2 linked regions of the Lonchura striata genome follow. The protein of the gene in region 2 purifies or fractionates together with the protein of the main gene of each other region. This does not show direct contact. Links are inferred from orthologs where the notes say so. Each region holds a gene or a part of one and is shown on either strand. Other genes may lie near its edges.

Region 1 (7,678 bases), on a different chromosome or scaffold from region 2:
GAGATGTAAGAAATATTGAAGGAAAGATTTAATCACTCAAGTATACTCCTTCCAATTAGAAAGAGCTTTAAATAGCTTACCTTGAGATAAATTAGAGTCTGGGTGCAATTAGACAGGAATAGTAATTAAGATCAGGAAAATTCACATACGCCTCAGCCTATGGAGTGAGGGAGAACTCTGCAGCAGAACAAACTTTGCAGTTACCTTGTTTCAGCAGCAGAAAGGAAAACATCCTGCTTCAATTTACCCCAACCTTCCCAGTCCCAGGAATTCAGGAACCTCACCAGGCCGGGATCTGCAAAGCCAGGTTTCACCTTATCTGATTTTTTTTTTTTTCCCCTCCACAGAACAAACAAAAATGGGGGCAAAAAAGGCTGAAAGGCCCTCGCTTGTGGTAAGGAAATAAATTAGAGGAAAGGCAATTTCATGATTAAAACGCCATGAAAAATTGTGGCAAGTAAGACTGACCACTGTTTTTCTGAGGGAGCAACAACTTTAATTTTCCTTTGGCGATAGCACCCATCATATCACATTCCCTAATTTCCACATGTCACATTCCCTAATTTCCCCATACATAGCCCCAGGGTTCTCTGCACAGGAAGGCAACAAAGTTTTAGAAACTTGAGTAAGTTTTTCTAACAAACTTTTTCTGGCCAGGCAAAAGAGTCCCTGCCCAAGTATTACAGTTGATTTTAGTTTTTTAAAGTCACTAAATCTGAAATCAATCCCATTTGCTAATTAATCAGAGGAGAACCGTGCAAGGTTTTACCTAAGAAAATAATTAAAGGAATTCACTGGTCATTCTTCAAAGAGCAGAGTCTTAATCACAAACCGTCCCTTAGCTACTTTCAACTCCCAAAAAAAAGAACTTAAAAGCACGTTTTCTGGGGATTTACTCCTTTTTAAAAAATCCCCAGTGTCCCCAGCCACGATGTCAGAGCTTTCCACATTTTTCTGAGGAGCTCCTGCAGCACCTGAGAGCCTGGAGAGCTGCAGGGTGACAGCTCCCAGCCCAAGCAGGAGATTCTGTGTCCCCTCTCCTTCCTGACGGAGCGGCTCCCACCCACGCAGCTTTTTAATTCTGTACAGTCTAAAGACAAAAAAAAAACAAACAAAAAAAAATCAGAATGTCCTGAGGTCTTCCAAGCATGAATTTATGAAGTAATTACTTTTTTGTTAAGCAAACTGCCAAGCTCCCGTGGCTGCAGAAAAAAAAAATGCCCAACTTTTCACTGCCATCCTCCAGTCCCTGCCTGCAAGTACCACTCCAGCCGCAACCTGAGCAGAAAACTGAAACTGAGAATAAAACAGCAACTTTGGCATTCACCCTCCACATCCCTGAGGCAGCAACAGCACTTTACGAAACATAAATTTTAAAAACTCTGATTTTTCTCTACCGGTTCTCGAGAAGGAGACTTCTAACAGTGATCAATGAAGGGGTTTGGAATGACTTTATTCCCTATCTCCCATCTCTTTGAACTCCCTTTGAGTCACTCTTGCTAATAAAGGCATCACGTAAAGCCAAGCTGGCTGCTGTGCACCACCAAACTCTCGCTGCTACTTACCAAAACACACTATTCCATTTGCCACGCTAAAATTGACAAAAACTTGAGCACTGGAATCACATCTTAACCCTCTGATCTCGTTATGTGGGAAGCAGAGCTTGAAAAGAAAAAAGGCTTAAGGACTACACAGCTCAAGCAATACAATGTGGTCTGAAGACACGCAGAAAAACGAAGGCCAGAGGAGGATTTAAAGGAGGATCTGAAGGGTCCTGACCCACACAAGTCAGAACACACCGAAGATTTAATATTTCTTAACCCGCTGACAGCTCCTTAAGCATCTAAAAACGAAAGCGCACGGTACCTTTGATAGTCAGAAAACCGAGATCTACCAAACCTCTAGGAAAAGACCAAATATTTCCTTAGTCATACCCGAGCCATTCCGTAGTTTATGTTACACGTTTAACACGCCTGTGCCCGTACCCATTTCAGACCCACCTGATTCCAGCCCTTCACTCCGCGAACTTTACAGGAGGAGGAGGAGGAGGCAGGAGCCCTCCCGGTGAATAAGGAGCCTGTGAAAAGTGCGAGGAAACTCCGCAACTTTTCACACCCTGCAGGGTGTGCGGGGCACAAAGTTTCGGGGGGGTCTTTCCCTGGGATTTTCGGGTGGGTGCCTACCACCCTCTACCCTGCCACCGCTCTTCCTCAAAATCGCTTTAGGAAAGCCCAAGTTCCGCGTCGGGCAGAGCGGGAGGAGCTCCTTCCCTCCGGGCTGAGCGCCCGAAAAATCCCCCCAAATCCCCCCCGAAACCGCCCCGGGCGGAGCGGCCGCCGGCCGGGCGGCTCGGAGCGCCCCGTCCCCCCGCGTTCCGCAGCATGACAGGGACCGCCGCCAGCTCAGCGCCGCGGAACTCCTCCACATCTGCCTGTGACGTTCTTTATTTACCGGCGGGCCGCGCCGCCGCCGCTGTCACCGCCGCTGCCGCTCCCGCCGGACTCCCCTCGCAAACTTCGCGGGGCGCCGCGGCGCCGTCCCCCCCGCCGGCCCCCACACCCCGCGGGGGGCTCCCCGCGGCCGCCGCCCTCACCCGCGGCGGCGCCGCCCGGCCCGGCGGCCGCGGAGCGGAGCCGCCCGCGCTGCCCCGGCTGCCGGCGGGGCCGCCCGGCGGAGCGCGGCCGGCGGAGTGTGTGTGTGGGGGGGTGCGGCGAGAGGAGGCAGCTCCGCGCTGCGCTCCGCACCCACCCCGCCTCTCAACCCGCGCTGCCAGCGCGGCCCCGCCGCGGCCGCTCCGGCGCGGCTCATCCCGCCGCGGGCCGCCGCCGGCCGCGGCCCCGGCGGCGCCGCGGGGGGACGCGGAGAGCTGCGCTTTACCTTTAGTTCCGCACTGTCCGCCATCTTGCGACTCCGCGCGCAGGCGCAGTGAACCCCGCCGGGACGCCGCCGCCCCGCCGCCGCCGCCCCGCCCGCCCGCAGCGCGCAGCGTTTGAATCGCGGCGCCATTTTGTGCCTCCTCCGGCCGCGCCGCTCCGCGCCCTCACGCCGGGGCTGCCGCTTCGCCGCGGCTCCCGGGGCCGCCCCGCGGGGCTGGAGCCTCGCCCTGCCCGTCAGCTTCGCCCTGCCCGTAGAGCTTCGCCCTGCCCGTAGAGCTTCGCCCTGCCCGTCGAGTTTGGCGCTGGTGGCGGCGCTCCGTGAGGGGAGCGCGTCCCTGCGGGCGCCCCGGCTGCTCCCCTCAGCCCCGCGGCGCCACAGGCAGCGCCTTCCTCCGGTGGTAAATGCGGTTATTAACACGGGACCGTGCAGCTGCGGTGCGTGAAACAACGCCGATCACCGCGTTTTTAACAGTTTTAGAAGTTTGGTCATAATAAAATTATTATTAAAATAGTAATATAATTAAAGTGTGAAAAACGCTTGGTTTTTAAGATTTTTTAGAAGTTTAATAATAATAAAATTATTATTAAAATAGTAATGTGATTAGAGTGTGAAAAAACGCCAATCACCTGTTTTTTTTAATTTTTTAGTTTAGTAATAATAAAATGATTATTAAAATAGTAATATAATTAAAGTGTGAAAAACGCTTGGTTTTTAAGATTTTTTAGAAGTTTAATAATAATAAAATTATTATTAAAATAGTAATGTGATTAGAGTGTGAAAAAACGCCAATCACCTGGTTTTTTGAATTTTTATGTTTAGTAATAATAAAATGATTATTAACATAGTAATATAATTAAAGTGTGAAAACTGCTTGGTTTTAAAGATTTTTTGAAGTTTAATAATAATAAAATTATTATTAAAATAGTAATGTGATTAGAGTGTGAAAAAACGCCAATCGCTTGGTTTTTAAATTTTTTTTTAAGTATAGTAATAATAAAATCATTATTAAAATAGTAATATAATTAGAGTGCGAAAAACGCCAATCACTTGGTTTTTAAAATCTTTTAGAACTTCAGTAATAATAAAATTATTATTAAAAAAAAATTATTAGAGTAATAAAATTTAGAGTTAGGACAAATGCAAGACAATAAAAAGCAAAGAATTACGGATGTCTGGATGCTCTCGGACACTAAGTCACAAAAAAGCAGACTTTGTGAACAAAGGAATAACCATAAAAGCAACAGCCTGTTGCATATTCATGTATCTCATACATGATGCATAAATTCTTTGCAAATTAAGAACTTTTCTCCTTAAGGTGGAAGAATGTTTGTTTTTTTCTGAGAAGGAGGAACTTTGTATGGGCCCCCTTCGCTGCCATCTCTGTGTGAAGAGTTTCTCGATTATCTCATCCTCCTGCTTGAGCTTGTAACAAATCCTGTATCACAGAGTTTCTATTTTAACATTGTGTTGTAACCTAAAACTGTATTTAACACGCCACTTAAGAGAATTAATACAGCAGAACTTCCTAATGTTACACATATAATATTCATTGTAACATTTGCGAGAAGCCAATCATAAAATACACATTTTTCACAGATTTTTGCTACTTAATGCACAGGTTTGAGACCTCTAGGAGTGGAAAGGGATGAGGCCGGGGTACCTCAGTGGACACCAGCTCCTGGTGTGCACCAAGCTGGAAATTATCAGTTTTTCAGGAAATTACAAGTTTTATTTCAGGGAATTTAAAGTAACAACAGATTTGAGGTCCAAATGCACCCATTTCATGTCAGTTTTGAGTGAAATTTGTGTTCTTCCAACAGCAAGCCAGAGGGGAAAATACCTACCAAAATCCTGCCTGGCAAGATGATGCATCAGTTGTGAATTTGGGAGGATTAAACGTTAGTGTTCAGGTCATTATAGCTTGATTCAGCTTCTTTCTACCTGGGTGTTATTCCCCAAATATTGATCACCATGACAATTTCTCTCCTTGGCCTTCACCTTAATGCACAGAACGGAACAAAGAACAAAATTTCCACTTTTTCCATAGCTGCCGTAAAATCCATCATCCTCCATTCCCAAAGCACTTAGAGGATGGGCACTGAAAATAAAATAAAGATTTCATGTCCCAACTCTGCAGATTCAAGCAAGGAGTGCAGGGAACCTGGGGTAATTACAGAATCAAAATTTATAACATTTGCCTCAGAGGGTTACCCAGGATTTAAAATTAAGTGGTTTGTGTTGAGGGAAGAATGGGAGAGAGGTGTCAAAAGTGTTTAAGGAGCTTTTTGATGCAATGCTGTTTATTGGTAAGAATATTTATGTGCAGTCCTGAGGAAAACAACTCCTAGTAAAGCAGGGATGAGAATGGAATGGTATCAGGATGTGTCACATTCCATCAATCCATGACAAAACTGTATGGATTTTGACCAAGGTGGACAGGTCACGTATACTTAACCTAGAAAGAGAACACATATAAATTATATGAGCATACATAAATAGATGAACATATATAAAAATAAATATATGAACGTATATATAAATGATACGTGATTTTTGATGGCATCATGTTTATGGTGAGCATATATAAAGTCCTGATACGCCCAGCAAAGCAAACAACTCATATCTCTTTCCAAACTTTCCATTTCCAAGCGTTTCACCCAGAAACATCCTCCAGACTGGCAGAAAATCGGGGGAGCTGACACCCCTCTTTCTTCATGCCTCATCCCAACTCCATCGGTGGCCCCGCTCTCCTGGATCCTGCCACACTCAGGAAACGAGCAGCAATTAGAGGAGGCTGATGAGCACACCCGGACAATCCTGCGTGCAATGAAGATTTCTCTCCGCGTCTGAAAGGCTGGTTTGGGGAGGGGGCAGGGTGAGACAGCTAAAAAAAAATAAAATCAGATGACTCCAGCACGCCCACAGCTCCCAGAATTAGCCCATCTATTTCAGTGGTCTGAGGCAGCCCAGTGCAGAACCCTTAATTTGAAATTATTAAATACGTGTCATAATCGTCATCTAACATGATCAATGAGTTCATGGCGAGCTGAAAGAATTCGGCCTTAAAGCTCTGTAATTGTGTGGAGAAAAATCCTTGCTTTATTTCAATTACTTTTGATTTTTTTCCCCCCCTGAATGAGGCTGCTGCACAGCCAAACAGCTTTTCCTCTGCTTCTCCACTTCCTACCAAATTCAGTGGGATGTGGACGTGTGCTCCGAGTGTTTTGCTAAATCATGGCACAACACTATCAAACTTGACACGTGGCCATAAACCACAGCGTCCTCTCTCAAAACTGCCTTCAAATAAAACAGCCCCAGAATGGCTTCGGCTGCATTAAAATAAGGAAGCGAACTAAAAAAGGGGATACAGAAAATCGGGTTTAAAATGCTCCTGCCGGTGTTTTTTACAGCCAAACCTCGCCCAGGCTCTTCATTTTTTTTTTTTCAGTTTGGGCTTTTTGATAGTCACTCCCTTTTCAGTGCAGAATATACTGGAGGATGGAGAAGGAACTTAATGAGAAAAACAATCTGCGCTTCTATTTTTAGGCCATTATTTACATGTAGTGAAATTTTGTTCCTCTCTGCTCCCGAGGCTCGGCTGATGGTTTATTGCCAAAAAAAGCCTTTGTCAACACTCAGTCATTTCCAGAGGTGCTCGCAGTGGCTCCAGCTGTGGCAGTCATGGCAGCACTCAGATCTTAAAAATTAAATTAAAATTAAATCTTCAATTTTTCTCTCCATTTCCAAAAGAAAATACTGGGATGCAGCTGGAGTAAGGGAGAACAGCCCCAAACAATCCTCAGGTTGTCTTGCTTCTGAGCTAAAGCTAATATTTTTTTGAGCTTTGACCTCTGCGGAGAGAGAAAATGAAAGATCAAGATTTCCCTCAAACCTCCACAATTTTGATATTTTCAATTCCCAATTTTCCAAAGTTGTGTTTCCCCCTTTTGGCCGCATCGCAGTAAAATAAATGACTTGAGAATTTGTCTCTTACCCCCCCATTTCTTTTATTCTCCTCTTCTGTAACTTCCCCAAAAACGTATCGTGTCACATAACTCACATGCTCAAAGCCATGTTCAGACACAATAATATTTTTAAAGATATGCATTTTTTTCTGTGAACATGTTGTTTTCATTAGTCCGAGTAGCCAAGAGTTTCTCCTCTTTGTCTAATAATCCAAATTTGCTCTTTGCCTAAAAGTAACACAAGGGCATTTCTGAGCCTGAATAAAACTGATTTAATGATAGACTCTCAGCTATTATTTCTTGATAGAAAACACGACCAAGCCACTAAAATACCTTTACTGCTGAGGCTGTTGCAGGCATGAAATGTGTGAAACACCCTTTTCTGAGGGACAGAAAGAGAAATATTTTAGTGAAAACTACTTGGCTAAAGGAGGAGACAATGGAGTAGCCAATATCTGATTTAAAAAAATACATTTTTTAACTTTATAACAACACATGTGCTGAGCAGGAAGTTGGTGTGTAGCGGGCTGGCACAAACATCTCCCCAAAATCTGCATCCAAGAGCAATATCAGCCCAAATCAGACAATAATTTGTACAAGCTGGGCCCAGACGAGGAATGTCAGAATCTGAGGTATTGATCATTCTGAGATTGTAAAAGTCTCTGTCTGTCAGCCCCGCTGCCAAAGCAGAAGCCATAATTGGTCTGTGCTGGTTTCCAGGTTGTTTATTCTGTTGATCTCTCACATGTTCTGCTGCCCTGCCCAGCTCTGTCCTGCAGGGCAGCGTGTGGGGCTCTGCCCTCAGTGGGATGTGACAAACATTAAATACCAGAAAC
Region 2 (7,060 bases):
CCATGGCATCAGGAACCTCAAAGTGACCCTGATGCATATGCATGTTGTACCACTCCTCAAAGAGAAGACACTCCACAGAAAGCCTGGCAGAAGTTCGGAGTCTTTGGGGAGTGAGAGACTGATGCTACCAAGGTTAGTAACTAATTGGTCTTAAAACAGCCACTTTTGTTCTGGACCACTGAGAGCATTATGAGCAAGGACACTAACTCCAGGTGTCAGGCCCCTCTAGAAAGTCCTAAAAGGAGCAGGAACACAGAGCACCCACACAGCTACTGAAGCATCCTACCAGCAAAGGATCACCTAGCAGCTTGCTTCCCCAGCATACTGCTGCTGCCTGAAACTGCACTTCTGAGGGCACTGCTTATCACACAACCCAAAGCCTAATTTAATTCCTTGGCTTACCAATCCTGGTTTTCCAGCCACTGTGCCAGGTACTGCCTGATCTCCATAGGAAAGCTGTCATCATACAGCTGGTGAACTTGCTCCAAAAACTTGGAATCCAGCTGCTGTAGTTGATACCACTGAGACATTCTGAGGAAGCTGTGAAAAAAAAGTCAGTGTTTAAGTAGTATTCAGACTGAACTGGTGAAAAATAACTAATTTTAAGTTTTAATGAACATTGACAAAATTGGAGGATGTGCTGATTTTGGCTGGGATAAAGTTTATCTTGTTCACAGTAGGTAGCATGGGGCTGTTTTGGATTTGTGCAGGAAGCAGTGCTGGTAAGACAGGGATGTTTTTGTTACAGCTGAGCAGGGCTTACACAGCATCAAGGCCCTTTCTGCTCCTCACCCCACCCCACCTGTGAGGAGGCTGGGGGTGCACAAGGAGCTGGGAGGGGACACAGCTGGACAGCTGACCCCAGCTGACCCAAGGGACATTCCAGACCAGGTGGCATCGAGCTCATAGAGCTGGGGGAAGGAGAAGGAGGCACAGGGGATATGTTACATGATGGTGCTTGTCTCCCCAAGCCACTGTTAGGCATGATGGAGCCTGGCTTTCCTGAGATGGCTGAACTCCTCCCTTTGGCTTTCCTGTGTACATGGCTTTTGCCTTTACCTGTTAAACTATCTTTATCTCAGCCCATGAAGTGCCTCACCTTTCTGATTCTCTCCCCATCCCACCATGCAGGGAGGAGGGGAAGTGAGTAGCTGTGTGGTGCTTCCTTTTTTTTCCTTTTCCTCTGAACCCATTTTCATGGCGTTTATGGTACTGCTAGTGTTACTGCTCTCTTGTTTAGCACATATGGGAATGAGGACCTCTGTGTTTGATACCTGTACTCTGCATAATTGAGATCCTGATCACGGAGTATCACCTTTTGCTTGTGCAGATGCATTCCCCAGCACCAAAAGTGTGAGTGTACAATTAAAGAGCCCTCTAAGTGCCCATTTTCAGTTGCTATTCGTGTCCACACTTGCCTGCTCTGAAAATGGACTACATCTCAAGTTACCTTAAATGGAGAAGTACTGGAAAGATATTTTTTTCGGCATTTGAGTTCTCATGATAATATTTTCAGGCTAAATTCAAGCAACCTGTGCAGCAGATAGAGGGTGCTTAAATGAACTAAGACTGTGCAGAACGGCTTCTCTCAGTCCTAACACTTTTGTGAGAGTGGCTTCAGCTCTGACGTATGGTCTCTAGAGGCAGATCACTTAGCCTTCTAAGCTGCAGGTTATCAGCTTGTAGTGGAAATGGCATGTAAAGATATGCCAAGGAACAGCCCAGGCTGAGAATATGGGTGATGAGATGCAAATCCACTCACATCTTTGTTTTTTAATGACTGCTTATAAGACCCATCCAAAAGAACAGGCAGCATCAGGATGAAGGACTGTCTTCTATGCCCCTTCCTACCAAATCCTTTTGTTTTTATATGCCAGTGCCCTCAGCTGCTGAGTGGCATGTGCTAGGTGTGAGAAGCAAAGGAATTAAAAATGCTATGTTTAAAGTGAGGGCTTTGAGGCTTTTGATTTGTGTGCTTTTCAGATTACAGCTAACACAGCATTTGAGTGTGCTATAGCAGTCCCAAAGAGGGAGGTCCATGACCTCCCTGGGCAACCTGCTCCAGTGCTCTGCCACCCTCAGTGTAAAGTTCTTCCTCATGTCGTGGTGGAACTTGTGTTCATGTCCACTGCTCCTCATCCTGTCAGTGGGCACCAATGAAAAGAGTTTGTCACCATCTTCTTGGCACCTGCCTTTGAGTTATTTATATGTAATGATGAGATCCCCTCTCAGTCTCTCTACTCCAGACTAAACTGTTCCAGCTCCAGCTCCCCTTGTAAGAGAGTGCTCCACATCCCTCATCATCTGTGTGACCTCTGCTGGACCCTCTCCAGTCGCTCCTCGTGTTTTTTGTACCGAGGAGCCCAGACCTGGGCACAGCACTCCAGATGTGCCTCACTAGGGCAGAGCAGAGGCGGCTGATCACCCCTCTCGACCTGCTGGCCGCCCGATGCAGCCCAGGACTCCCTCCTGGCCCTCCTCTACCTCCTCGCCTGCCATGGCCGGGGGCCGGCCCGGTGCCCGCGTTCCCCGGGAGGGAGCAGCGCACCTGTTCCGCGGCGGCTGCCCCGCGGCGCCGGAGGAGCGGGATCACCGGGATCAGCGGGATCAGCGCCGTGCTGGGCACACGGGCCCGCTTCCAGCGCTCCGGGCAGCTCTGCAGACGCGTCGGAGAGGGTGAGCTGCGGAGAGCGAGCAAAGAGCCAGGCTTGAGAGCGGATGCGACAGACGACAGAGCAGCCGGAGCGTCCCTGTCAGGAATGAAGACGGCTAGCAGACACCTCTCTTTCCCCAGGGCAAGTACACCAAAGCGCAAAACTCGGTGGGCGTCCCGCGGGCAGGGGCAGTCTGAGGAAGCGACAAGCTTTCGTTTCACCGGGCATTCCCCCCGCCATCCCCCGGCCCCTCACGCCCGGGTCCCTCACGCCCGCTCCCCTCACCTCGGCTCCGGCTCGGCGCTGCCGCGGCGCCGGCTGCGCTCAGGGAGCCGCGCGCGCATGCGCGGGGGCGGGCCGGGGGCGTTCCCGGGCGGCGGGCACGTCACGTGACTTCTGGGAAAGGCGGCGAAGGCGAAAGCGAAACTAGTGCGGGGCCCTGAGGGCGGCGGGGCGGGGCGGCTGCTGCTGCTGCTGCTGCCCTCACAGAGCCGCCGCTTCCTGCCCGCCCCAGCTGCCCTCACGGAGCCGCCGCTTCCCGCCCGCCCCAGCTGCCCTCAGGGAGCCGCCGCTTCCCTCCCGCCCTGCCCGCCCCAGCGCCGACAAACTGCAGGAGGCTGAGCGCTGTTCCCATCCCACCCCAAGCCCTGCTCGCAGGAATAGTGTCCATTCATGTCGTTGTCTGTTGGTCCAGCGTAGCCTTTTTGGGTTTTTTCTGGTGTTGGAAGCCGGCAAAGAGCGGATGCTGAAGGCCAGGCTTTGCTGCAGCTCTCCAGGGTAGTCTGTGCCCCTTCCCTCCTCAGATGGAGGAGCCAGGTGTTATTACTTCATGACAAAAATAGTAGATCTGTTTGGTAAGCTTCGTGGTGTGAAATACTAGGCAGCAGTAGATCTATAAAAATGGCTATGAATAAAAGCAATGGAAGAAAGTAACTGACAGGTTTCATGTTTTTTAATTAGGATCATTACAGCGTCACACCAAGACAAAGCCTAAAACAATTACATTTTTACTTTGTTGCCGCAAAACACAGCAAAAGGACAGTTAGTAGAACTACTTAAAAGCAAATTTTTTTTTTTTGGTGGTAGTATCTAGGCATCCCTTTTTTGTGATTTTCCTCCACACCATCGTTTCACTGGAGAGCTGTATTCTTACTCATCATGGCATAAGGACAAAATTCTCACTTTTTTAAAAGGAAGGAGGCTTGGTCTGTATGTATTCATCCTACAGATAAATTATTCCAGTGTTCCTTTAAAGCAGTGAAATGATCTCAAGGCGGATCTTTTCAACAAAATGTTAAGTTGACCCTATGCAGCAATCTGATCTGAAGCAATAGCAGGAGCTGTCATGCCAAAATCTGATCCATGATGCTGTTCAGAAACACCAGTTATGTTGGGCTGAAGTTAATACTTGAGAGTTTTGGAGGGTTGCCTTGCATAGAGAACAGGAAAGAAAGAAAAAGGAGACTGGTTTGCACGCCATGTCTGATCTTGTCTTACAGTGCTTCTCATGAACTTCAGATGGTCAAAACTAAAAGGTATCCCCCGTTTTGTTTGTATTAAGATTATGGGAAGAGGTTAGAATGAAAAGGCACGCAACAGCTGATGTTAGGGGAGGTCATGTTTCCTGCTTTAGAATTATGTGTTACTGTCTGTAGCTCAGTTTAAGGTCAACCAAAAGGCAGCAAGACTGTTTTTGCTGTGCCTTGAAAAAAAATCCGCAGAGGTCCGGATGCAACTTGAAGCCAAAATCTGATTTTGTTCATGCTGGTTATATAAGTTACAGATACTACCAAGCTATATACAGAATTGCTCTTGTGTTTTATTTTATACGTGATGCTTACTGAACTTACGTGCAGCTTGCTTTGAATCACTCAGTGTAATGAACAGAGATGCGTTTGTTTCTTTGAAATCTACTTCTGTGCATCACAAAAATACCTCATTACTTTGTTTCCGCTCACTCACTCTCAACTAAAGTAAATAGCATGGATGAAAGAAGAAATGAAAGTAAATCTATGTCTTACCGATTCAAGGAGTTTTCATCACAGAAGTCTCATTTATACCTGCTTGAGAAAGCAGCAAGGTGCAATTGTTCAAGTTTTGTGTTTTAAGAACTTTGCATGCATTACTCATGTGTTCTTCAGGCAAGGCTTGCATCCTGATTGTACATGGATTTGTGAAATACAGTGGCCTTGGAGTTGCCAGTTTGTTATTCTATGAACAGCGATTTTAGGGGTAACTCTGGGGGAAATAAAACTAAAACAACAAAACCAAACAACCCAAACTGAGCAGTAAACACACCTGAAAGAAAAAAACGGAGTATTTAAAGAGGGCAATTTACTATTTTTACAGAAACTAGTTGTCCTGCTTATTAAGTGAGGCTGTGACGGGCCTGTAATATCCTGTCACGGAGCACAAATTTCCAGGTGGTCAGCAAATGCTGCAGCTCTTCAGTAACTGTTTTTTAAAACTGCTTCCCTGTTGCCATTGACTGATTAGCATCCAAACTGTGTCAGATCAGGATCTTCTATTTGTAGACTTTCTAACAATTTTTGCTGGAGTATCTCCTGCCCAAACAGATTTGCTTTTGCAACTATTTTGTGAGAGGGGAAGTTTTACTTACTCTCTTTTCCAGTGGAGAAATGGAGACAGCATTTCTAACACCACAAGTTTTATATCTGCTTCCTTTCTGGAACTCCCTTCTCTCCCCAGCCTTCCCTACCTGCTTTCCACAACTTCTGCTGTGGTATCAGATAAAAATCTATCTTGAAGGCAATTCATCTTTGAAGTAAAGCAAACCCCAGATACCTCTGGAACATTCAAAGTCAGGGAACAAAAATCTTTACTTTGAAATAGTATCTAAATCAGTGGTGTATAAGATTATGCATAAGCAGAAAGTATTTAATATAATAGATCCTAATTTCTCCAAACACATTAATGTCTTTAGTTATCTTTATATACTGTCTTCAGAAGCAAAACATTTTGTTCTTATGCATTCGTATTTACAGCAATTCTATGGAAATTAGTTAAATTAGCAAGTAAAAGTTATCTCTGCTGGGACCCCACTGAAGTCAAATGACTCCCAAGCCAGAAAGGATTTGGTCTTTTTTCAATGACAACACCAAATGTGACTTGCAAAAGGCTGTTTGTATTCCCTAGGGAGAAAATTCATTGTTTATGTGTTATTGATAATAGAAAGAGGCCTAAGAATAACATCATGGTTTCCAGAAAAGCTGACTTTCAGAGGTGACAGGATTATGACTTCTTTAACCCATCCAATGTTCCCACAATTACTGATTTTTCTAGTATGTGCGCTTCAGTCAGTTGAGTAAGGAGAACTCAGCTAGAAGAAAAGAAGGACAGAATTAGTCTCATGGCACTCACAGCTATTCATTCAAAAGAAACTGCAAATGAAACTTTCTCTGGCTCTAGGTAACTGCAAAGTCACTTTGACAATGTCATAAAAACTGATAAGGATCTGAAATCCTGATTCTAGTTGTTTAGAAAATAGAAGAATGCTCTTTAGAAGATACTGTGTAGAAAACTATTGCAATAATAATAAGCATGGTATTTATTTTTGTATAAACTTTTGTGGTTCTTGAAGCCTGTGGATATGTATGTCAGGGTTCTTCCTGGAGTCTTGTTTTTTTTGGATGGGTAATGGAAGCTGGACAGGGTGGAGGGAATAGAAGGGAATTCAGCAAGGCTGCAGAAAGTATATCTTGCTAAGACTGAGTCAATTGCAGGATATTTTGTCCTGCTGCAGATTTAACTCTTGTTTTCTGTATCTCACACAATGCTTTTTTATTGGCATTTCACGAAGAAAAAGTATTGCATTAATAGTGCAGATTGTCTTCTTGCTATACTAAGCCAGCTCTTCAGCAGGGTAGATTGTTTTGTGAATTTGATAAAGAAAAAACCTCCATATTTCCTTCATTTCCATTTAGCAAGGTCAATTGAATTGAAAAGGAAAGAATTCTTTAAAAATCTTCTAAAACTATTTTTTCTCATGCAACTTCTAGCAGAACTTGAAAACATTTCTAGTAAGAGCCTACAGAAATACCACTTGCCATCTAGCAGCGTTGAACCATTCATCTTGGTACCTTTAAAATTGTATTTAACACTTTCAGTTTGCAACTAGGCACATTCATTTTGTCAGGTTATGACCCTGAATGATGGCCATCGTCACAGCTTATTTTGAAGCTCTGAATGGAGCTAATCTGAGATTTACTGTGCATGCAAGAAGAAACCAAAAATGTTTGGAGGTTGATGTTAACTGAAAGTGAATCCATTTATTCTTTACTCTGACGAAAATTCAGGAAAGCAAATGTGTGCATTGTTCCTAAGTGCACTTGAGGAGGCCAGAACCATTTCCACATGTTATAAACCAAAACAGAAATAAGAGAGTA

What was found. The genes of interacting proteins can lie anywhere in the genome.
Region 1: the proteins of STAT1 (region 2) and PIAS1 purify together in Homo sapiens (affinity purification with western blotting; 5 studies listed by BioGRID). This does not show direct contact. The link is inferred for Lonchura striata from reciprocal best matches to the Homo sapiens genes STAT1 and PIAS1.

Annotation. Positions count from the first base shown.
Region 1 is NC_134613.1:23,417,044-23,424,721, reverse strand, and holds the start of PIAS1 (E3 SUMO-protein ligase PIAS1), read right to left. Parts: upstream 3,007-7,678; coding exon 2,878-3,006; intron 1-2,877. UniProt on the Homo sapiens protein: Functions as an E3-type small ubiquitin-like modifier (SUMO) ligase, stabilizing the interaction between UBE2I and the substrate, and as a SUMO-tethering factor. Catalyzes sumoylation of various proteins, such as CEBPB, MRE11, MTA1, PTK2 and PML.
Region 2 is NC_134610.1:30,435,639-30,442,698, reverse strand, and holds the start of STAT1 (signal transducer and activator of transcription 1-alpha/beta), read right to left. Parts: upstream 3,023-7,060; 5' UTR 2,940-3,022; intron 2,751-2,939; 5' UTR 2,549-2,750; intron 541-2,548; 5' UTR 531-540; coding exon 403-530; intron 1-402. Other genes in the region: STAT4 (signal transducer and activator of transcription 4), read right to left, coding at 5,968-5,994. UniProt on the Homo sapiens protein: Signal transducer and transcription activator that mediates cellular responses to interferons (IFNs), cytokine KITLG/SCF and other cytokines and other growth factors.